3 linked regions of the Xenopus tropicalis genome follow. The protein of the gene in region 2 purifies or fractionates together with the protein of the main gene of each other region. This does not show direct contact. Links are inferred from orthologs where the notes say so. Each region holds a gene or a part of one and is shown on either strand. Other genes may lie near its edges.

The links. Proteins that work in one complex are often made in the same cells at the same time.
Region 1: the proteins of usp4 (region 2) and rbbp8 purify together in Homo sapiens (affinity purification with western blotting; 3 studies listed by BioGRID, with this or other methods). This does not show direct contact. The link is inferred for Xenopus tropicalis from reciprocal best matches to the Homo sapiens genes USP4 and RBBP8.
Region 3: the proteins of usp4 (region 2) and dcp1b purify together in Homo sapiens (co-immunoprecipitation; 3 studies listed by BioGRID and IntAct, with this or other methods). This does not show direct contact. The link is inferred for Xenopus tropicalis from reciprocal best matches to the Homo sapiens genes USP4 and DCP1B.

The regions. Positions count from the first base shown.
Region 1 is NC_030682.2:108,919,891-108,928,176, forward strand, and holds part of rbbp8 (DNA endonuclease RBBP8), read left to right. Parts: coding exon 1-354; intron 355-1,452; coding exon 1,453-1,570; intron 1,571-4,723; coding exon 4,724-4,815; intron 4,816-4,898; coding exon 4,899-4,998; intron 4,999-5,446; coding exon 5,447-5,644; intron 5,645-8,286. UniProt on the Homo sapiens protein: Endonuclease that cooperates with the MRE11-RAD50-NBN (MRN) complex in DNA-end resection, the first step of double-strand break (DSB) repair through the homologous recombination (HR) pathway.
Region 2 is NC_030680.2:125,798,143-125,807,031, reverse strand, and holds the start of usp4 (ubiquitin carboxyl-terminal hydrolase 4), read right to left. Parts: upstream 4,696-8,889; 5' UTR 4,544-4,695; coding exon 4,377-4,543; intron 1-4,376.
Region 3 is NC_030679.2:9,163,640-9,171,925, reverse strand, and holds part of dcp1b (mRNA-decapping enzyme 1B), read right to left. Parts: intron 6,426-8,286; coding exon 6,300-6,425; intron 5,391-6,299; coding exon 4,689-5,390; intron 2,178-4,688; coding exon 1,929-2,177; intron 1-1,928. UniProt on the Homo sapiens protein: May play a role in the degradation of mRNAs, both in normal mRNA turnover and in nonsense-mediated mRNA decay. May remove the 7-methyl guanine cap structure from mRNA molecules, yielding a 5'-phosphorylated mRNA fragment and 7m-GDP.

The sequences.
Region 1 (8,286 bases), on a different chromosome or scaffold from region 2:
GAGAGCTGTGAATCCTCATTTGATAAAGAAAACAATATCCCTATAAAAGACATTGGTAGTGAAAGACACAGCATGCTGGACAAGCCCCTGGATCTTTCTGACCGTTTTTCAGTGCTCAGGCCACAGGACAGAAGCCATGGCAGCAGCAGGGGTAGAACAAAGCAGACATTTGCACTGGTACCAGAGAAACCTGACCCCAAAAAACCACTGCACATAGACTTAAGGGAGGACCTTTACCACCAAACAAAGCAGAAAAAAGTATTTGTTTCTGGGTTAGTAGAACGTAGTGCCTTCAATTTGCACGAAGATAAGGAAGTGACAGAAGAAGGCAATCAGCTTTTCGATGATTTAGAGGTAAAATGTATTCAGTCTGTTGTTAACTTTATTATGCAGCTGAGCTGTATATTTCTAAGGACAGATTCACTGCAAATCTAGCATATGTATTTATAGTCATATGGTATGATTTATTGTTATAGTCCAATGATTTTTTATATTGGTACAGCATAGCTTATAGTCTGTACACAATGTTCTTTCCCTTTGTATTTTTTCTTTTGTAGTGTATGGGCAAGGGTTAAAGCAATACTGTCATGGAAAAACATTTTTTTTTTTCAAAAATCATTTAATAGAGCTTCTCCAGCAGAATCCTGCATTAAAACATGTTTTTCAAAAACGAAAAAAAAAAAAGATTTTTTCTTATATTTAAATTTGAAATTTCACATGGGGCTAGCCATATTCTTAATTTCCCAGGGTGCCACAGCCATGTGACCTGTGCTCTGATAAACTTCAGTCAGACTTTACTGCTGAACTGCAAGTTGAAGTGTTGTCCCCCCCTCCCTTTCGCCCCACAGAAACCGATCAGCAGAACAAGGGGAAGGTAGCAAGACAGCAGGCCTAGTGTTTGCTACTACTTGCACATGGTTTACCAGAAATTACTTTTTGCTTTAGTAAATCATGTACACATTGCGGCATTAGGGGGTCATTTACCATGACCTCAAATGCAAGCGTGATTTCACACCCATTAGTGCTCATTCAAGAAGCACTTGGGTCCTTGGTCATGCTGCACTCTATACCTCACACTGCATTACAGCGTGAGGTGTAGTTACGTAAGGCACTGTAGGACCCAGACTTCAGCTGTTTGGGGTACACAAGTCTACACTTATCCTAATGCTAAACTGTGACTTTGAGACTGAAAGAAGCAGACTTTTATTACTATTACCCTTGAAGCTTTTTTAAAGGGGCATATAAAATGAAATGCTTTACTGATAAACTTGGGATATATGCCCTATAAAGGTTTGTATGCTGGGTACTAAACAACCTTAGAGAAGGTTGAAACGTCTTTTAATGTTAAGAGGTATTTGCATTTGTATTAATTAGCTCAGCTAAAAAATGGTAGGAGTCTGATTTTTATGTGCTAATATATAATTAAGGACTCTTTTGCCTCTCTTTCCTCAGATTGAAACTGTCCATGAGCCAAAAAGAAACGCAAGATCAGTGCACAGAGGTGTCCAGCCGACATCTGTCCTTCAGCCAAACTTGCACATGGTTCAGGCTTGCCCGGAATCTCAACAAGGTGCAATAATTCCCTTGACTGTAATGAATTTCACATTGTTCACATGTTTAATTGTTAACATCAGTCTGTGTCCTAATTGAGCTTACAGTCATGTCTAATAAGATCTGCCTATGTGGGACATACCACACAAGTACTTTTCATCAGTCTTGTTTGTCAGTTGTGTATGCACAGTCAGCTTCAAGGCACTCCTGGGGCAATCTGTGAAGTACGCTAAGGACCATGGTCCACAGGAAGATTAGTCACCTGCGGTTACATTTTGGCTACTGTGGCGACTAATCTCCTGAAAATGCCTTCCCACTGGTAATTTGCCAATGGGAAGGCATATGCATTGTTTTGTTTTCCAAAGTTTTCTCTTGCACCTGCACTGACATAATGGTTCTGGGTGCAGACAAAGAAGAAAGCTAATGTCAGTGTGTGGCATCAGTCAAAATTAAATGTTATTGGTGCCAAAGGAGAAAGGCTGCACTACAATTTAAACCAATGTAGTTTGTTGGGCCAGTCACTGCCCCCTTTCTATTCATTTTACATCTAAAAAAACACAATCATATTTTGTCTGATAAATAATACTTTCTCTTCCAGAGTTCTGTGGGGCACTGGGACCATGGGATATAGCATGCACCACTAGGAGGCAGGACACTAGAGAAGGAGAAGAAGAAGACTCCTGCCCTGAGCTATACCCCTCTACCTTAGCCTAACTTAGTTTTTTTTTTCTGTGGCCTGTACTTTCTTTGCACCATGGGTTGTTCCAGAGCTCTTTACAGGTGACATTCTTTAATAGGGGCTTCCCCCTTCATTGATCAGACTCCACAGAAGCGCACTACTTAACTGTCCTACCATCCTATGTCTATGGATGGAACAGGAGCTATCTATCCAGCACTAGCTAGATTCTTCTAAAGGAACATGAGGACAACCCAGCCTTCATAACTGATGAGTATAGCATCATAGCCCATCCAACCTAGGCACTTCCATACAAGGCTCCCATCTAGGAGCATCAGAGCAGAGCATCCACCCCCCTTGGCATCTGTGCTCAGCCCCTCCCAGCAGTGCTCTCCCCGCCTGGCCCCCATTACTTCCACTGGAAGCGGTAATTTTCCAAGGGCAATCACGTCATCTGAGATAGTCTTCGGTCAACAACGCTCTCTCCTCTTGGCGCAAATTCTCATGACGTCACTTCACAGTCAAGCTCTTGTAACACATTCCACTCTGCATCATATATATGGACAGGTTTTTTGCTTATGGGTAAAGCCACTTGGACGAGGGGCTTTACACGGACCACACACGCTCAGTCTAAAGTAAAATTGTTGGCATGCACCAAATGCTGCAAAAGGCTGCCCACTGGGTGTAAAGAGCCTCTATGTGTTCCCTGCTCTAAGCTTTCTGTTGAGTCTTCCTTCCAGTCCCAGGATATGTCTGTTATACCACAAATTGATCCAGAGGCAGGAGTTATTCAACTCACACTAGAGTGCTCTGCCCAACCTTACACTTCCACCAAGCACCCACCAGCTTGGGCCTTAAATTTATTTACAGGCATCCCCAAATTAGCAGCCTGTCTAGATAAATTGCTAGACAAACATGACCAGGGGGGATCAGAAACCAGGGCCAAAACTTCTAATCACCCACCTCTCCTCTAATCACAAGAGGACAGCATCAGAGCCTCCCCCTGGACAACCAATCCTTTAGTGAAGGGAAATCTCTTCTGACCTTGCAGAGGAAAGTGAGGACTTCCCAAAATTCTTCACTGAAAATCTTGATGCCCTAATCTCCAGGTATTCAAATGCCTAGACCTAAAGACAGCTGATGCTCCCCCTGACCTTGCTCAGTCTCTTTTTAAACACCACAAAAAATGTCCCTCCATTTTCCCCATCTCATGCTCAGCTTAATAGCATAATCCTGTATCCTGCCTTTCCAAGAATACAGCTCTCTCTGTACCAGACACTTCCTCCTTCAAGGAACCCATGGATAAGAAACTGGAAGGGTTTCTTAGATCAGCCATTGCCTCAGGTGGCAAATCCCTGCGACCCATTTCTGCCTCTGCATCAGTAAGTAGGGCAATCCAGTCCTGGTCCACTTCCCTTATAGACGGGAAAACCTCCGGCCTACCTTGGGAAGAAATTCTCTTCTTGGCTACTCAGCTCAAGGAGACTAACGATTACATGGATGAAGTGTCCTTGGACACTGCACAGGTTGTAAGCCACACATCTGCCTTATCTGTTGCAGAAAGACGATCCTTACGGCTTAAATGACAACTGGCCATAGCATTGCATCCCTGACTATCCTCAGCTGGAATGTGAATGGGTCCAAATCTCACCTCATTCCGAATCGCCAGATTCCCTTTCTAGGCATGTTGTTAGACACGGATGCTCAGCGGGTCTTCCTTACTAAAAAAATTGAAAGAGTTGAAGTTGCTGGTGCAACAACTGCAAGCACGACAACCATCCCACCATGGTATTGGTGACCACATAGCTCGTTGATGCAGCCCTCAGTCCAACGGGCCATATACCTGCCATTTTAATTCTGTAATTTGGCCCTAGGGCCAAACTATTGAATTAGCCCAATATCGCTGATATTGTTTGGCCTCGCCAAACGAGTGGATCGCACCATGTATGGCCACCTTTACTTGCATTATAGCTATGGTATATCAGCAACAACATGTGTGTCTTGTGCAGTAAATCTTATTTGATAAGTAGGGGCAGATATATTAAAATGTGAGTTTAGAGATTAATACATAAAAATTAACCCACGTTCTATTCATTCCTATGGGATTTTAAGAATAATATTTATCAATTGGTGAATTCTAACTTCCACCCATTTATAAATACATTTCTAAAAATCCCATAGGAATAAATAGAACATTGGTGAGTTTTTATGTATTGAATTTACATTTTGATAAATCTGCCCCATAGTGTTCTTTCTTTGGGGCAAAACAAAAAAGGCAATGATTGTTTGTGAATTACCATTTCTCTAAAATATCAAACATTCTGAAATGAGTAAAAACCTAACAATAATAATCATATGTCAATTTTTGTGCTAAATAACAAGTTCAGAGGGAACAAAGAATGAATTAAGTTAAGATTTAAATTAGTTATGTGCTGTAGCATTTGAAACTAATTTACTTTATTAAGAAATAGGGACAATGATCTATCTCTATTTTAGGGAAGCCACCAATAGATAACATGCAGTGGAGCATTGATCCAGGGGCTGACTTGTCGCAGTATGAAATGGACATGACAATGGAAGATTCTAAGGTAGAAAAATGAAGTTTTATTTTTAATATGTGTATGCCCAGAACTACATTTCGGAATGATATTCACTTTTTACTTTTATAAAGGGTGGGAGCCCTGCAAAGCCAGAGCTAGAGGACATGGATTACACATATGTTAGTGAAAGTTTCCTGTTAAAAATGAAGAAGGGGGATCCAGGTGACAGTGGTAAGTGTGACCAGTTACTTCATGTTATTATTATTCTTTTATTTGTATATATATGGCATATTCTGTAGCAGTTTATAGTGATTATACGTCGTTCACATGAGTCCCTGCCCCAATGAAGCTTACAATTTAAGGACGTTATCACGCTAATAATAAATATATATCATGCACAATTACTCATTCAGAGTATTTGATTACTGCAAAAAATGAAATATTGATTTTAAACTTTAGCATACCACACCTCTTCCCTCTGTCTGCATACCCCTTCGCAGGTGCTCTGTCCTAAGGGAAGGTATTAAACAATATAAAGAAATATGATAGTGTGATAACAATCGGCATTAGTACAGAAAATTGCTGTACTACTCCACCATTGTGCACATTGCTCTTTTTCCTCCATGGCTCTCGTTTTATTAATTGTATACCATGTGGTTTATTTATATATTTCCAAAAGTCCTTCCTAGTGAAATAATAATCAGTTTCCATACAACAGAAGATGAAAGCAAAGGTCAAGACAGCTTTGAAAAAATGTTTGACAAGAGTGAGTATGGAGAGTATGTGTTGTGCATTAAAGACAGGAGCCCTTCCCAAAGTTGCAAAGAAAGGAATGATCTGTCTTCCATGGAAAATAACAAAATTACCAAAGAAAAAGGTCAGTTACTTGTCCAATTGCAAAGGAACAAAATTACATCTGAAAACCCAGAAAGAATTACAGTGAAAGCTGAATGCACAGACCAGGCCAAAATGTATATTACAAAGCAAAACTAACGTGAAGTTCATTACTGCAAACATAAGTATGAATAATTTAGAATTACATTGTGCTACAGTCATACAAAAAAATTAATCAGCTCCCCCCCTTCCCGTGCAAATAAGCTCTTAAATAAGGGAGAATTTGCACAGCACAAATATTTGCCTCCGTGGGTTAACCATTGGGTACTGTAATTAGATGGGAAAGCAGCAGTGTTATAAGGCTCTCTGCAAACCTTTTTTTCTTGTAGAAAGATATCCTTAGAACTTACTGCATGAACTGCATACGTTTGTAACATCTTGCTATGCTTCTGGGAGTCTTAGGTCTTAGTTATTTATGAAGCAAACACCCAACATAATTGTATAGTAAAGACAGGGAGGGCGAATGAGCTTATAGGCAGGGGTGAGGTATGCTGAGGTTGAGGGAAAACAGGTGCTAAGTTATGTAAAGGGTAAATGGAACACCTTTGCATGACTGAGCATTGGTAGTCTGATATGTGCAAGTAGGGCATGTATTTGACAGGAGGATATCTGCAAAAGCTTCACATTATTTTTCAGAGGCTTGGGTGAAACTACATCAGGTAATCTCCTCTCCACATAGAAGCTCAATACTAGTGGGATAACCTAATCACAGGTTTGCTTCTGGTAGTGGTACCCATAGCAATAATTCAGATTTTTACTTTTCAAACAGCACCTGCTGGTTGGCAGCCAGGGATTACTAGGCCTAAATGTAACATTTGCACTTGTTAATATATTACCACCACCACCCATCCCCACCCCCTGAAATCTAGTGTGGATGCTTTCAGGTCCTCCTGCTGCTTAACCACTTATGTAGCCAACCACGTTTAAGTTTTTTTTAATGTCCTTTCCATAACAGGAACAGGGCTTAATTACCTGTAGACAAATTCTCTTTTTTTTAATTCAGAGTCTATATAAACTAACAGCTGGAGCATGTCAAAGACAGGTTTACATAACCCAGTTCCCAGAGGTGTCTTAGTGCTCCATGATGCCTATGTTTCTTATTTAAAGGAGGGAGAAATATAGCTCTAACACACCTCTGTAGTTTTTTGTTAAAATTATTTTTTTTTCACCCAATAAATGTTTTAATGCATGAACTTCTGTTGTGTGGTATTGTATTTGTGATAGTTGACACATATAACTGATGACTCCCCTATCTTAATATTTCATATATATGGTTAGTCTATAGAACAGGGATCCCCAACCTTTTATACCCGTGAGCCACATTCAAATGGAAAAAGTGTTGGGGAGCAACACAAGCATGAAAAAGGTTCCTGGGGGTGCCAAGAAGAGCTATAAATTGGCTACTTAATAGCCCCTATGTGGACTGGCAGCCTAGAAAAGGCTCTGTTTGGCATTATACTGGGTTTTTATGCAGCCAAAACTTTCCCTTCTTACCAGGAATTCAAAAATGGACACCTGATTTGAGGCCATGGAGAGCAACACCCAAAGGGTTGGGGAGCAACATGTTGCTCACGAGCCACTAGTTGGGGATCACTGCTATAGAACATAGAATCATTCTCCTCTTTTCTAAGTATGTAAAAATGTAAAACATAGTCTGAAAAACCTTTAGATATATACACACTCGGGTGAGAGGTTCTCATGCTATATATATTGGTGTCCTTAGCTACTCTGCATTGAAGCTGTATAATTGCAAGGACTCTCTATGTACTGAGCTATCTGAGGTCTTGTAGATAGTGTACATTTTATTGTAGTTAATTGGCAAGGGGATTCTTGGGTTTTTCTTTATTTTTTTCTCCACTACTGGAAAACACATTATATAGTGAATAATGTATCCCCTATAGTAAAATATAAGTTGTGGTTGCGATTCGAAAGTCCCGAAATTTTTGTATCCGAACTATCATAAACAGTGCGAAAACCTTTCTGGCTTTGAAACTTCAATGCATGATTTTGGAAGCTTTCCATAGGACTCAATGGCACTCTACAGCTCCAACCTGGCCAAAAGAAAGTCACAATACCAACGCTTGAATGAATTCCGGAATGGTCGTAGTCTTTGCAAAAAATACAACTTTTTAGTGGACTTTAATGAAAACCACAAAAAAGTTGTACTATTTTAACTATATTATCATGGTCAATACGAAAAGTTCTAGCAATTAGAAAAAATACGAATTTTTCTCATACGTACTAAATCGTACTTTAATGAATGAATGGGCCCCTAAGTATTGATTAGAACTGATAACATCACTAAGCACAGTCTATAAGGTAAGGTTTGATAGAGTAAAGGAGATTTATGTACTTACGGTTAAATCCTTTTCTCTCCAGTCATAAGGGGGACACAGGGACCGTGGGGTAAAGGCCCCTCCCATCAAGAGGCAGGACACTGGAAACCGAGATGTGGACCCTCCTCCTCCTCTCCCCTTTATCCCCTGTCACACCAGAAGGGGTTCAGTTTGTAACAAAGATTTAACTCATAACAGAATATAACTAACTCTCAACAAGACTGAAGATATTAGAACAAGAGTTCAGGGAGGGAAGCCCTGTGTCCCCCTTACGACTGGAGAGAAAAGG
Region 2 (8,889 bases):
TCACTTGCACACACTTCTCCCTTTATATTGTAAGCTCTTTTGGACAGAGTCCTCTTAACCTTGTATACATTACTTTACTGTAGCATATGCTGGTGCTTTATAAATATGTAATAGTTATTATGATAACACAGCTAATGCATAGTAAGTGTATGCCATCAACAGGACTGAATATCTTAAGCTCAGACCCAGTCTCATCCAATACTAAGAATTACGAAGTGTCCTAAACTCTAAATGAGTAGAGTTCAATATGCAAAACTGCAAACTGGAAAACTAGCAATGCGCGACACTGCAGAACACCCTTTGGTAGTTTAGCTGTTTTTTTTTTTTTTGCCTATTTAAAGAAAACACAATTTCAGGGAACACACACATTTTAAATGGTTTTCAATTTGTTTATAAAATGTATTTGAAAGCAGTATTTGTTTATCATTTTCTGTTCACCATTTCAAGCTTTTTAAACAATGTAGCAGAAGTGCAGTCTCCCCCGGTCAGTTAATTAGTTGCTTCTCCAACACAGTTTCAGAAATCAACACCATTAGTGCAGAGAATATAATCAGCCACACAAACACTGCTTTCAACAGCAATTAAAATATGGTAAAAGCTCCAAATGTGATGAGATGGAAAGATAGTAATGAATTAAAAGATGAACTCTCATGGCCCTCTAACATTGTTACTATTGAGATTCGTTTTTAAAGTGTAAGGGTGAAGACACACGGAGCTCCTAGTAGCAGCTACTTTTCCATTGCTACTAAATGCCAGAAAATACCCTACTGTATGTAACATACTGTAGATAAAAGCTACTTTGCTTTTAAAATTACTGTAATAAATGTTAAATTATATGCCCATTGTTTTTGACACAGAATTTTTGTACTTCTGACTACACTTTCTAGATTGTAGTACCCTCTACTTACTACACATTTCTAAACAGTATAACCTCAATTTTATATACACTGATTTTAAGTTTTCTTTCATTTTACACTTTTTTGGCCCCGATATTTAATGCATACACCTGATTTTACAGTTTTTTTCTGGTCCCAAGAAAATGGGGTTCTACTGTACTCAAAGGGTAAAGGCATTTCTCAGAGTACTGATCTGAGTGGAATAACACATTAGCACATTCCACAAGTACTATTTTCGGTGTTACTATAGTTCAATGTTCATGAAATCCAATATAATTGGGCATTACCACCTGCAAATATGTTGTTTTTTTAACACACTGATTTCTGTAGTAGTTGTTTACTACTTTACAGTTAAATTTAACTATAATGTTATTTGCCAGGGGGTGGCCAAACATTTTCATTCAGCTGTAATTATACACCACTGCGGGCAGTGGAACCTATATGTACTCTTTTAATAGTTCCCCATTTAATTCATGGCTGTCATATTCTGTGCTGAGTCACTGGCATGCAGGTCACCGTCAAAACTCTGCTACCACCCAAACATAGAAGTAAGCCTTTCCCTGCCAAGCAGGCTCCAATGTCATCTAAAGGATTAGGAACAGGGGCTTTTCCCATCATGTGGAGCAATTGTGTATTCCAGCATAAACAAACAAAGCACCTTAATATGATTTTGACCAGGCTTGCATAACACACAAAATATATTAACTTGGCTTCCAAAACTTTGTCCTAGGGGTACATTTTCTAGATAACTAGTAACTAAATGTATAGCTGCACAAAGGCCCTTGATTCTCGCCTGATGACTATTACCAGGCAGTCTCAACTCATCAAAGCTGCACAGGAGGGTGGCTATTCATTCCATGTACTGAAAGTGATCACACATTCTAATTTAAAGTGCTAACATGAATGATAAAACATTAATTGCATAGTATAAACATTAGGCAGGCCACCTACAGTGAAAATTAACTAGGTCCTATATTATACCACATATTATAATGGCAGGAAACCTCCACATATTATGTAAGACTCAAGCACTCCCTGACCATCTGTTCCAAACATCCATACACTATAAGATCTGTTTGTTTGTGGGTAGGCTCATCAGTGGTCCCCATATACAGGCAGATAATCCGCTGAACTGGTGACTTAAATCTGCCAGTGTATGGCCACCTTCCGTTTAAGTGCATTTCACAACACACAAAGCTTAGGAGCGCTGTTACTGATGCAGCCCTTGCCCCTACAAACCCTTTAAAGAAAGAAGTAGGGCAGAAACGTTATGTTTTACCAATGAGCAACACAAGCACAAAAAGTTTCCTAGTAGGTGACCTGTATGGGTTCAGATTGGTTAGTAGCCCAAAGTGGACTTGCAGACTACTAGAGCCTCTTTTTAGCAGTACACATGGTCTTTATGCTTCCAAAACTTGCCTCCAAGTCAGAAATTCAATAATGGGCACTAACTTTGAGGCCACTGGGAGCCACATCAAAGGGGTTGGTAAGCAGCATGTTGCTCGTGAGCCACTGGTTGGGGATCACTGTCCTAGATCATTGCTGCTACAAATATGGTGAACCTCTAGGCTTGTGCAGTAAGTTCAGTATATAAAATATGGCATTTCTCGCCATATTAATTTTTCAGGTTTAGTTCTACCACCATTATCTGCCTATGTGCAAAAAGTTGGGAACTTTAGCTAATGCCTTTAAAAATGGTTGCTCGATGACCACAACAAGAAAATCACCATTGACTCTGACAATCAGTCTTTGGCCTGAAAGGTCAACCCAGCAGTTTGAGAACAACTGTTCTTAACAAATAAAAGATATGCAAATATTACTCAAAGGTTTACATTGACATCATTTACACATCTATGAACTACAATCATATGTGCGCATTGAGAATTTGGAACTTCTAGCCTGCTAACTGCAAGCTGGACATCGCTGAATCATGGAATGGAGGTCTGGGGAAGACAGTATATCCAACAGTCCCCAAATCTTTAAAGCCCTTTGTTTTCAGCAAGGCTTATGATCTAAATTTGTTAACACAAACTTGTTTGGTTCAACAGAAACCAATCAACCTACTCGTATTCCCTCAGATGGGATCTCAGACTAGAGCTGGGCGGTATGACCAAAAATTTATATCACGGTATTTTTCAAAATTATATCGGTGTCACGGTATTTGACGGTATTTTTTTTTCCATGCATGATTAGGTGTTAACCCCATTTCCTAATAAATTAGAGAATAATTACTGCAGTATTGAAAATCAGAGTCAGGCAAGCGAAGGATCGGCAACAAAGTCGTAAGGTAAATCAGGCAGGCTTAGTTTCCCAGGCAAGGCCGCAGACAACATAGCACAGGAGGAGGCGTTTGATAGCTTTAAATACCCCCCACGCATGCGCAGAACCGGCGCCGTCAGCGCGTCACGGATGTGCACGCTTTGACATGTACGTGTGCTTTGACGCACGCGCACCTGGACGCGCGTGCGCAACATCCCACGGACAACGGGACGCATGCGAGACCGGGCCGCACGGGTGAGTACCCCGACACCCCGGTATTGCAGGATCTGAAAAATGAATATAGTTTTTTAAAAAAAAAAACCACCGGTATTCGGTATTAAACGGTATATCGCCCAGCCCAATCTCAGACCCCTACTTGCAAAAGGCAGCAGTTCTGACTACTGTGTCATTGTGTCCTGTCATAATAACCATAAATATTGCACAAAGGCCTGGTACTGAAGGGAGCTTTTTTGGCACACTAGGTGAGCACATATATTAGGCGAAGACAAAAAAAAAAAAAAAGAAAAGGTTGGGCTGCACAAATACAATGCATAAGTCAGATAAAGAATAAGAGCAAATGCTTTTAGGCCCCCTACAGTGTATTACTGAGGGAGATTGTGACGGGTTTTAGGGCACAAGAAAAAAAAAAGCCACTTGACCTCTTTACTCTTATGGACCTTGTGATTAAAAGCCCCCCAGGGGGGTGTTGTATTTGTATGTAAAATAAGTCCCCAAATGGGAATTTCCAAAGGGAAGTTGCCAGAAGCCATCATACAATAACTACAGTCAGGGGGCGCTGCAGGCTCAGAGCGCTTCCGGGGCACAATGTCTGAGGGGAATCTATACACACATATATCCATTAACCATAGAGATAGCGCCACTGTGACTTGTTGCCGTGACTTCCGGGAACTTCCGCTCTCCGTTCTGAGACAATTGACAAGTTAGTATCGCTTTTACTTTAAAGGAAGCAGTCACGTGACCGCGGCCGCTCCAGACTTCGCTATTGGCGCAAACTGAACCCGCTGAGAGGCTGTCCCCTCGTGGTGCCGGCTCAGGCCTGCGCTCTCTCTCTCACTCAGGCAAACGCTTCCGCCATGGAGCCAATGACACAGCACCCCGGGCCGGCAACTCGCCAGCCGCTATCTCTGCCATAAGTTACGGTCCCGCCTGGCTTCTCCCACCTCAGCTTCCCACTACACACACACAGCGGCCTCTCCTTACCACTCATCTCCTTTCTTTAGCGCTGATTTCAGTAAGTCCCCGAGCTCGGCCTTTTGGGTCTCAGTGTCCGCACTTGTGCCCGGTTCCGGTGTCGGCGCTGGGGAGGGTGTTCGTGTGCTACCCTGTGCCGGTCCCGTTTCGCTACCTCCACCTCCTTCCTCTGCCATAACTGCTTTCCGACTATTCGGCTAGGGGAGCGCGCACGCCCCACCATGGGTTGATCTGTGGCGCTGTAGGGATGCGTGCGCGCCCCACCATGGGCTGAGCTGAGGCGCTGTAGGGATGCGTGCGCGCTCACTGAAAGAGAAAAGCGCCCGGCGCCGTGGGCGAGCCCGACGAGCAGAGGGGAGTGCGTAGTGACGCAGGGGAGAGCGCGTAGTGACGCAAGGGAGAGCTAGGCGTTTACGTTCCTTGCGTTCCATGTAGGGTGACAGGGACACCTTCTTCCTAACATTATCATTTAATCACTCAGTTACACATTAATAAATGACTTTATTTGCATTGATACGTTCTATTGTCTCAGTCACTGCTAAATCCTGTTAAATGGCTTAAAACCCTGTCACGGTGTAAATGGAGTTCCCATGGGATTGCTGAGGTGAAAAAGTTTGAGTCAAGTCAATTTGGTATTTAAGATCCACTTACTTAGCAAGGTTACCAAGCGAGCGGATCTTCTTGTCCCCCTATGCCCATCTATGGCCAAATCCGTTGGAAAAATCAAACCTGCCCGATTGACATGGCTGATTTCAGAGCAGATGTCAGTCAGGGATATGTACTCAATTGATTGGTGTGTGGTTCAACAAATCAAACTGCACCCATCATTTTATTTTTGAGACCTGCGGCTTGTTTGTTAAAACAGTCTGGTAATTTCAGCCATGTTGGACTCTTCAGGGCAGTATCTTGTATAATCACACATACTTGGGAGCGAGTGATAGCTGCTGTCTGCCTGGCCACACAAGCAGGACTTGTGTCTTTTTTTAGAGACTTCTAGTATCTCCACCTCATGAAGGATATAATTATCAATTTCTAAAATTGTGAATCATTTGGACCACATTTAATAACAGCAGGTAAAGAGCTAAGTGCAAACAAAAGTTTGTACCCATAATGCATCAGTACTGGTACAAAATGTGTATCCTGCATAGGCCTGTGAAAGTGTGGGCATTCTCTAAGACACTTTTTCAGTTTCAAAAAAAGAACAATTTCTTTGGGGCACATGTACAAAAGCATGAACGCTCCGAGAGTATTTTCGCCGATTTTTTTCGGGCGCCCGCATGACTTTTTCGTACGGCGCACGACTTTTTCGGACGTTTCCACGAAAAAATCGGAAAGGTTTTACCGCTGTTTACAATTGTTCGTTACGAAAATTTCGTGACTTTCGGATCGCCAATACAATATTATTGTGACTAATACGATTTTTTTGTAAGCATTTTCGTGATATTTGCGATCTTACGAAATTTTTGTTTCCAATACGATTTTTTCCCATTCATGATTCGGATTTGTGGATTAGTAAATGTGCCCCTTAGTGTACACTGAGTACTGACCATGGACATATGAACTTGTCACTTTTGGGGAATTATAGATAGTCGCATTTGTTATAAAGTAGTTAAACAACTTTGGTTACTGGCTGCTTCCAAGAGTAATGGCATATGGGCAGCTTTTCAGCACTTTGAACTCTACATTTCAAAGTAGCCCCAAAACATGGCACCAAACTTCCCCAATGGACCCCCCTATAGACATGTGTTGGGATGTGCTTGTGTTTGGGCTTGTCAGGTGATATATGTCTTGAAATGTATCATTACTTAAAAACACAGTGCTCAAAGTACAGGTATGGGATGTGTTATTAGAAACTCGTTATCCAGAAAGCTTCAAATTACGGTAAGGCTATGTCCCATAGACTCCATTTTAAGCAAATAATTACAATTTTTAAAAAACGATTTCCATTTTCTCTAATAACAAAACAGCACCTTTTAATTGATCCCAACTAAGATATAATTAATCCTTATTGGAGGCAAAACAATCCTATTGAGTTTATATAATGTTCAAATTATTTTTTGGTAGATTTAAAGTATGAAGATTCAAATTACAGAAAGAACCCTTATATGGAGAACTCCAGGTTCCAAGCATTCTCGATATTAAATCCCATACCTGTACCTTAAAGCACTCCCTGTGAACTTCCCTTAAGTAATTTATAAAAATACTGTAACTCCCAAAATGCACTATTTATAATATATTCTCCACCTTAGATCATTCCCCTGTCACTTGTTATTATGACTACTAGGTAGGGTTTGAGGCTGCTGATGGAAGTTAAGATTTATTCCTATTATATTCAGACAGAACAGAACTGGATAAAGAAGTTACAGTTGGAGAACATTCATTAGCATGGTGTGTGTATTAGCATCACCTACAGGTGCATTTCACATTTATAATTTGTTGGTTTTCCTATTACAACTTGACCTTATTTAATGCTGGAACAGTGATCCCTGTCCCATATCGGTGCTATTATCTTAGGCTATACTGGCACAGTTACATTTCTTGTGCTGCTTTCTGACCAACAGTGACACTCTGATACAGCACACAAAGAGCAGTTATGCATGCAGCAATGCTCTGGCTTATGCAGAGTCAGTCTGTTTGCACACAGGGCCTTTTGTCTACATATGGCATTTAGCAGAAAACACCCCTTGTGCCACAAGGTCAACAAAACACCCCTTGTGCCACAGGCCTTACCAGTGTCGGCACATGTAGTCTGTCATATACAAAGTTACACCCATGAAAAGTTGTACTCACAACTGTTGCATAATTTGAGTGTAGGGGACTGCAGGTTTAGTTACCCTTTATTCAGGCAGTTCCCATTTAGGCATCTAAGTGTGTCCTAATTTACAGTTGGGAGGGAAGGCTGTTCCTTATCCTGGGTTACAGGGATTCTGTCATGATTTTTATTGTATACTTTTTATTTCTAAATTACACTGTTTACATAGCAAATAATTCACTCTACCATTTAAAATTTTCTTCCTAAACCAACAAATGTAATTTTTTAGCTGTAATATTGGTGTGTAGGCACCATCTCAGTGCATTGTGCCTGAGTCTGAGCTTTCAGAAGGAGCCAGCGCTACACATTAGAACTACTTTCAGGTAACCTATTGTTTCTCCTACTCCCATGTAACCGGACTTGGATTTCTTACTATTGAGTGCTATTCTGGTATCTACTGGGAGCTGCTATCGTGCTGCCTTCCAATTGTTCTGCTGATTGGCTGCTGGAAGGGGTGTGATATCACTCCAACTTGCAGCTCAGCAGTAAAGTGTGACTGAAGTTTGTCAGAGCACAGGTCACATGGCTGTGGCACCTTGGAAAATGAAAAATATGGCTAGCTCTGTGTGAAATTTCAAAATTAAATGTAAACAAATCTGTTTACTCTTTTGAAAAACAAATGCAGGATTCTGCTGGAGAAGCTCTATTAACTGATGTGTTTTGAAAAAAAACATGTTTTCCCATGACAGTATTCCTTTGAAGTATTTTCCTGGCAGTTCATGCAGGAAAAGGTGTTATCGTGTTAGCCAGTCAAAAATGTTTACAGGGTAACCCTTTTGAAATAAAAAATAACAAAAGTGGTATAAAGGTGATACATTTATTGGCTAACTAAGATAATTATAGCAAGCTTTCAGAACATTTTAGTTCCTTTTTTAAGCTGATTACAGTTCAGTAACTGGCCACTAGATGTCATTGTTCTGTTCTTTATAAGGGGAGGGCAACATATGTTCACCTTCTTTCTTTGGATTCTACATTCCAGGACGGTGGATGCAGGTTAGACCCTGGGCAGAGGTAGACCCAGTATGTAAAGAGGATAATTCTGTAATAGTTCCCTCCAGGACTGAGAGATAGGATTAGAGTAGCAAGTGTACAGACTTCGGGGCTACTGTAGCTTGTCTAGGTTTCAACTGTAGGACTTGATACTGGGGATTGGACACTTCCTAGCTGACTAAACCCACTGTTCCACTATTGACCCCCTGATGGGTAAAGCACTGGCTTGAATCTTTGCATTTGAGTAACTACTGAATACTGGTAGTTCATCTCTTTTTGGATGTTATTCTACATTTCTGTAAATAAAGAGTTAACCATTTGTTTTAAGCATAACTGGTGTCCGTCTGATTTAATCAATATGAGGGCTATAGTTTAGTAACACCCTTTGTCCACTAGCTCCATGAGGGCCCATTCCCAGGGATCAAGTCGCATGCATGTTCACCGGCATATCAAACAGTTTACTGGAGCACACAGCCACTCTATTTAACTGTAGGCTATATGAGCATTGCACTGTATGTTAGCAACATCAAGGGGCCGAGTGCTGGTTGCAGGGCCGGAACTAGGGGTAGGCAGAAGGCACCTGCCTAGGGCACAATGATGAGGGGGCGCCAGGCAGTACTAAATAAATGCAAACAACATACACAGACATTTTATACCCAGTAGTAAATCTTGAGCCATCTGCATCATTATAGACATTGTGCAGATGGGCATTCTCATACA
Region 3 (8,286 bases), on a different chromosome or scaffold from region 2:
ATATACATATACACCCAGGACCCAGAAAGTAGTTTACTGTTTTATTATTACAGAGAAAAGGGAATCATTTAACCATGAAATAAACCCAATAGGGCTGTTCTGCCCCCAATAAGGGGTAATTATATCTTAGTTGGGATCAAGTACAGGTACTGTTTTATTATTACAGAGAAAAGGGAATCATTTAACCATTAAATAAACCCAATAGGGCTGTTCTGCCCCCAATAAGGGGTAATTATATCTTAGTTGGGATCAAGTACAGGTACTGTTTTATTATTACAGAGAAAAGGGAATCATTTAACCATTAAATAACCCCAATAGGGCTGTTCTGCCCCAATAAGGGGTAATTATATCTTAGTTGGGATCAAGTACAGGTACTGTTTTATTATTACAGAGAAAAGGGAATCATTTAACCATGAAATAAACCCAATAGGGCTGTTCTGCCCCCAATAAGGGGTAATTATATCTTAGTTGGGATCAAGTACAGGTACTGTTTTATTATTACAGAGAAAAGGGAATCATTTAACCATTAAATAAACCCAATAGGGCTGTTCTGCCCCCAATAAGGGGTAATTATATCTTAGTTGGGATCAAGTACAGGTACTGTTTTATTATTACAGAGAAAAGGGAATCATTTAACCATGAAATAAACCCAATAGGGCTGTTCTGCCCCCAATAAGGGGTAATTATATCTTAGTTGGGATCAAGTACAGGTACTGTTTTATTATTACAGAGAAAAGGGAATCATTTAACCATTATATAAACCTTTTTTGATTGCGAGTGCGGTGGTACCGATTCTTTCTATTTACTAAATTTTATCAGCACCCAGGCGGTTAATTTTGTTTTGAGTGCTCCTCTTGGGTCTATATTTTCCAGACAGTGGAATGGAAGATTTCAAATTCTTTTGAGATCTTTTGAAATCCCTTACCAGACTTATAAGCTGCTACAATCTTCTTTGTAAGGCTCATGCCACACCAGGCGTAGGGCTGATTTTTTCGGCAAGCGGAAAAACGCTTGCCGAAAATTCAGCCCTACGCCTGCTACTTGTGCCTGCACCCGAATGAATGGAATACGCTCGGGTGCAGGCACATGTAGCCGATATACGCAAGAAAACGCGAGACTTTGCATTCTCGCGCGTTTTCGTGCGTATATCGGCTACATGTGCCTGCACCCGAGCGTATTCCATTCATTCGGGTGCAGGCACAAGTAGCAGGCGTAGGGCTGATTTTTCGGCAAGCGTTTTTCCGCTTGCCGAAAAAATCAGCCCTACGCCTGGTGTGGCATCAGCCTAAGGGCCTCAGGCAGTTCTAATCATGTGCACCTGATGTGATACACCTGTGTGTGATTTGAGCCATTTTAGGCGGGACTAAATGCTGGGGTGTCCTGATTTATTCCTCACCAGAAATTGCATTATATATATGAGAGAACTGTGGGGTTTTTTTTTTTTTACTTTTACATTATATATACATATACATACATACATACATATATATATATAAATATATATATATATAAACCAATTCAAAGTGTCGGCACTCATAGGATTTCCGCAACAAAAGCACAGCAAATAAAGTTTCTTATTAATGCAGGTGATGTGGTTTATTAATCCGACGTTTCAGTCCTTTACTTGGACTTTCATCAGGGAGATGAAAGTCCAAGTAAAGGACTGAAACGTCGGATTAATAAACCACATCACCTGCATTAATAAGAAACTTTATTTGCTGTGCTTTTGTTGCGGAAATCCTATGAGTGCCGACACTTTGAATTGGTTTGTAGATTTTTTTCAGCTCTGGCACCTAGGTTTTTATTATACTTAATGGTGTGCTCCCACTCTGGATTGTATATATATATATATATATATATATATATATATAAATATATATATATATATACACACACACTTTCTCTGTAGCCCTATGCTCAGATCTCACCTGGATAAGGTGCAGCAGGGTCTCCTGGAGCTGACTCCTAGTGAGGACGCCGTTCCAGCTATTCATGGTGTTCGTGGGGTTCTCTGGGAATGCAGCGGGGAAGAGCAGATTGGAGGGCTCTTTGGTACAAAGGGAGAGGTTGGCTGTTTCATTTGTCCTGGTCTGCAGGCTTGGCTGGGCAAATACCATGGGGGACATCAGCAGTGCTGGTGACACAGAGGCTGGGATATGCTGAGGAGAGGAGGCTTGCTGTGGATAGAAAGGGCAGCATATTACAGGCTTATTGCTGGCAGACACATTACCAAGAGGTGGGTTGCTGCCATAGTGTTTCCCTTAGACAGTACAGTATGGGGGTACAGCTTATTGTGTGCCCAGAACATTCCTTCTCTGTATATTTGTATTTATACATATGGGAGGGAGGTGCCATAATGTTTCCCTTAGACCAGTGATCCCCAACCAGTGTCTCAGGGGCAACATGTTGCTCCCCAACCCCTTGGATGTTGCTCTCAGTGCCCCCAAACCAGGGAGTTATTTTTGAATTCCTGACTTGGGGGCAAGTTTTGGTTGAATAAAAACAAGATTTCCTACCAAATAAAGCCCCCTGTAAGCTGATAGGGTGCATAGAGGCCCCTAATAGCCAATCACAGCCCTTATTTGGCTCCTCCATGAACTTTTATGGTGCTTGTGTTGCTCCCCAAGTCTTTTTACATTTGACTGTGGCTCACGAGTAAGAAAGGTTGGGGATCCCTGCCTTAGACAGTACAGTATGGGGGTACAGCTTATTGTGTGCCCAGAACATTCCTTCTCTGTATATTTGTATTTATACATATGGGTAGGAGGTGCCATAGTGTTTCCCTTAGACAGTACAGTATGGGGGTACAGCTTATTGTGTGCCCAGAACATTCCTTCTCTGTATATTTGTATTTATACATATGGGTAGGGGGTGCCATAGTGTTTCCCTTAGACAGTACAGTATGGGGGTACAGCTTATTGTGTGCCCAGAACATTCCTTCTCTGTATATTTGTATTTATACATATGGGTAGGGGGTGCCATAGTGTTTCCCTTAGACAGTACAGTATGGGGGTACAGCTTATTGTGTGCCCAGAACATTCCTTCTCTGTATATTTGTATTTATACATATGGGTAGGGGGTGCCATAGTGTTTCCCTTAGACAGTACAGTATGGGGGTACAGCTTATTGTGTGCCCAGAACATTCCTTCTCTGTATATTTGTATTTATACATATGGGTAGGGGGTGCCATAGTGTTTCCCTTAGACAGTACAGTATGGGGGTACAGCTTATTGTGTGCCCAGAACATTCCTTCTCTGTATATTTGTATTTATACATATGGGTAGGGGGTGCCATAGTGTTTCCCTTAGACAGTACAGTATGGGGGTACAGCTTATTGTGTGCCCAGAACATTCCTTCTCTGTATATTTGTATTTATACATATGGGTAGGAGGTGCCATAGTGTTTCCCTTAGACAGTACAGTATGGGGGTACAGCTTATTGTGTGCCCAGAACATTCCTTCTCTGTATCCTTGCATTTATACATATGGGAAATAGCTGCAATATTGTTTTTTAGAACAATATAATATAGTTTATAGTATAGAGAACATTTCTTCTCTGTATATATATATATATATATATATATATATATATATATATATATATATATATATATATATACATATTTGGAGGGAAGCTGCTATATTGCTTCCCTTGTTCCAGGGATTCCTATCCTATGAGTTTCCCATGGTGCAAAGCGTGGGTTTCCATGATGCCATTTAGAATGGTAGATCACATTTACATAAATGACAAAATGACAGACTGCAGAACCACATATGGGCACTTCCCTGCCAGCTGAGAATATGTGCCAAGAGTCTTGTCAGAAAACGAAAATGCATGTAACAATATGACATTAAATTCAGTTGCATGCATGTATATATCTAGATACAGGTATGGGATCCCTTATCCGGAAACCCGTTATCCAGAAAGTTCTAAAATTACAGAAAGGCCGTCTCCCATAGACTTCATTATAAGCAAATAATTCTAATTTCTGAAAATTATTTACATTTTCTCTGTAATAATAAAACAGTACCTGTACTTGATCCCAACTAAGATATAATTACCCCTTATTGGGGGCAGAACAGCCCTATTGGGTTTATTTCATGGTTAAATGATTCCCTTTTCTCTGTAATAATAAAACAGTACCTGTACTTGATCCCAACTAAGATATAATTACCCCTTATTGGGGGCAGAACAGCCCTATTGGGTTTATTTCATGGTTAAATGATTCCCTTTTCTCTGTAATAATAAAACAGTACCTGTACTTGATCCCAACTAAGATATAATTACCCCTTATTGGGGGCAGAACAGCCCTATTGGGTTTATTTAATGGTTAAATGATTCCCTTTTCTCTGTAATAATAAAACAGTACCTGTACTTGATCCCAACTAAGATATAATTACCCCTTATTGGGGGCAGAACAGCCCTATTGGGTTTATTTCATGGTTAAATGATTCCCTTTTCTCTGTAATAATAAAACAGTACCTGTACTTGATCCCAACTAAGACATAATTACCCCTTATTGGGGGCAGAACAATCCTATTAGGTTTATTCAATATTAAATGATTCTTAGCAGGCGTAAGGTATGGAAATCCAAAATACGGAAAGATCCCTTAACCGGAAAACCCCAGCATTCTGGTCCCATACCTATATATTACCACTTTGTTTTAATACTCTTGTTACTCGGATACCTGAAGGAGCAGATTCTGTTTCTCAGCCCGAGGAATATTTTCCACCCAGGATGTTTTCGGCACGCTCTGGGAGACCACCGGGAATTTAGCCGCTAGGGCCGGCCTGGGATTGCTTTGCATTTGCTGCTCCTGGCGCACCAGATTTAGCTTCTTGAGCAGCTCCTGTGGGGAGATGGTGCCAGAGGCCATGACAGGTTGAGAAGACAAAGGCAATGGAGGCATTGGGGCTGAAGTCCTTTGGTTCGGCAGAGAGCAGTCGTGGTAATTAAGTGAGTGTGCAGCGCACGAGGACACCATGTCGGCGTTGGGTCCCCCCACTGGGGCTGTGTGAAGGGTTTGCAAGAGAGTTTTCCCGCTCTCATAGTCCTGATTGGAAAAGGGAGCCTGGTGCGTCACCGGGATGAACAGGCCAGGGAGGATGTCCCCATCGGGGGGATAGCTGCCATTATGGCACGGCCTGTTCTCAGGAACCTCGGAGACGGGTTGCAGCCCACTTCCCGCCACCATGAGTTTCTGGATGGCAGGGCAAAGCTGCTTCTCGACATTCTCCGTCGCCTTCCCAGGTTCTTCATACGAGAGGGAACGGACCACCGAGTGGCGCACAGCGCCGGGTTCGGAATGAAGCTTCATCTGCTCTTGTGCTTTGTCTGGCTTCCCGAACAGAGCTGTAAGAGATAAATGCTGCTTTTCTGACTCCACAGCCTAAGGAAGGATAAAAAAAAAAACATAGTCACAGTTTAACACTATGGTGACTGTAAGTTTCACTCGTTTTCGGTGCTCTGGCTACCCAATTGCCAAGCTGGAGCATACAGTACTGCTCACCAATCATGGTCGCTCTGGGCGTGACCACTAGGGGGTGCCTAACAACCTGGCTGATGGTAGGTTTTCTGCCCTCATACATGTAATGGAAAGTAATAACTGGTGCAAAAGTTGCTACAGTTCAAGTAAACCAAAACAGCCAATCAACAGGTTATATTTATCAGTCTGTTGTTTACAAACATCTGATTGGTTGCTGTGGCTTACAGACCATTATTACACCATCACATTTGATAAACTATTACTAAGCTTTAATGAAGTATTCATAAAGCCCCAATAAATGGGTACTGGGTCAGGCCATGTTTCTATATAGGAACCTTGGTGTAGGGGTTCTGTTTTCACGCAGTTTACAGAGATTACTCCTTGGCCTTAAGGTGCCCATACCCCTTCAGATCTGCTCGCTTGGGGATGTTGCCAAGCAAGCGGATCTTCTCCCGATATCCCCCACCTACGGGTGGGCGGTATCGGGAGAATCCGGGCCAAACGATCAAATTATAACGGCGGGTATAGGCAAAGTCGGTCCGGGGGCTGCATCAACGAGCCGATGCGGTCCCCGATCCGACTAGATTTTTTAACCTGCCTGATCGATATCTGCCCGATTTCAGGTCAGAAATTGGTCGGGCAGGCCAGTCGTTAGTGCCCCTACAGGGGCCGATTAGCTGCCGAGTCTGTCTAAGGGACCCATATCGGCAGCTACTATCGGCCCGTGTATGGGGACCTTTAGGGTAGGCCACTGCTCCCTTCTAGGTGGGTCACAGTTAGGAAAGCACAACCCTAAGCCCCTACTGCTCTCACCTCTAACGCTCTCACCTTTCCCGGCTGGGACTCACTGGGTTTAACAGCAATGGGCTTGATGAGGTTGGGGTTGGTGTAGATGGCCGATGAGCTGGTGATCATCTTGGGCTCGGAGCACGACTTGCACTGTGCAAAGAAACACAACAATCAGACACTTCCATCTCTCACAAGTGGGTACGGAAACATTTGCACTTGCTTTCTGAAACCAACAGTTTCCTGACTCGTAGTAGGCTTAGTTTTCCTTTAAACAGGCAACCATATTTTTTTAGTAATTTGGCCACTGCCACTGTTCCAGCATATACAAAAAGTCACTGTATTGTCAACTCAATAATATGCCAGTGGAAGACCTACTAAGAGAGAGCTAGATATAGAGAGATAGATAGATAGATAGATAGATAGATAGATAGATAGATGGATGATAGATTGATAGATAGATAGATTTTATAGATAGATGACAGAGATAGATGATAGATAGATAGATAGAGAGATTAAATAGATAGATGATAGAGATAGATAGACAGACAGACAGATAGATAGATGATAGACAGAACTCAATAATATGCCAGTGGAAGACATACTAAGAGAGAGCTAGATATAGAGAGATAGATGATAGATAGATAGATAGATAGACAGATAGACAGACAGATAGACAGACAGATAGACAGACAGACAGACAGACAGACAGACAGACAGACAGACAGACAGACAGACAGATAGACAGACAGATAGACAGACAGATAGACAGACAGATAGACAGACAGATAGCCAGACAGATAGACAGACAGATAGACAGATAGATAGACAGATAGGCAGATTATAGACAGATAGCTAGATAGATAGACAGATTAAATAGATAGATGATAGATAGATAGATAGATAGATAGATAGATAGATAGATAGATAGATAGATAGATAGATAGACAGATAGATAGATAGATGGACAGACAGACAGATTAAATAGATAGATGATAGAGATAGATGATAGATAGATGATAGATAGATAGATTAAATAGATAGATGATAGATAGATAGATAGATAGGCAGACAGATAGATAGATGATAGACAGAACTCAATAATATGCCAGTGGAAGACCTACTAAGAGAGAGCTAGATATAGAGAGATAGATGATAGATAGATAGAGACAGATAGATAGATGATAGACAGATAGATAGATAGATGATAGACAGATAGATAGACAGATTAAATAGATAGATGATAGATAGATGATAGACAGATAGACAGCTAGATAGACAGCTAGATAGATAGACAGATTAAATAGATAGATGATAGATAGATAGACAGACAGATAGACAGACAGACAGATAGATAGATAGATGGACAGACATACAGATTAAATAGATAGATGATAGATAGATAGATAGATAGATAGATAGATGATAGATAGATGATAGATAGATAGATAGATAGATAGATAGGCAGACAGATAGATGATAGACAGAACTCAATAATATGCCAGTGGAAGACCTACTAAGAGAGAGCTAGATATAGAGAGATAGATGATAGATAGATAGACAGATAGATAGAGACAGATAGATAGATGATAGACAGATAGATAGATGATAGACAGATAGCTAGATAGATAGATTAAATAGATAGATGATAGACAGAACTCAATAATATGCCAGTGGAAGACCTACTAAGAGAGAGCTAGATATAGAGAGATAGATGATAGATAGATAGATAGATAGATAGATAGATAGATAGACAGACAGATAGATTATAGACAGATAGCTAGATAGACAGATTAAATAGATAGATGATAGACAGATTAAATAGATAGATGATAGATAGATGATAGACAGCTAGATAGACAGATTAAATAGATAGATGATAGATAGATAGATAGATAGATAGACAGATAGACAGATAGGCAGACAGATAGAGAGATTATAGACAGATAGCTAGATAGATAGATTAAATAGATAGATGATAGATAGACAGATTAAATAGATAGATGATAGACAG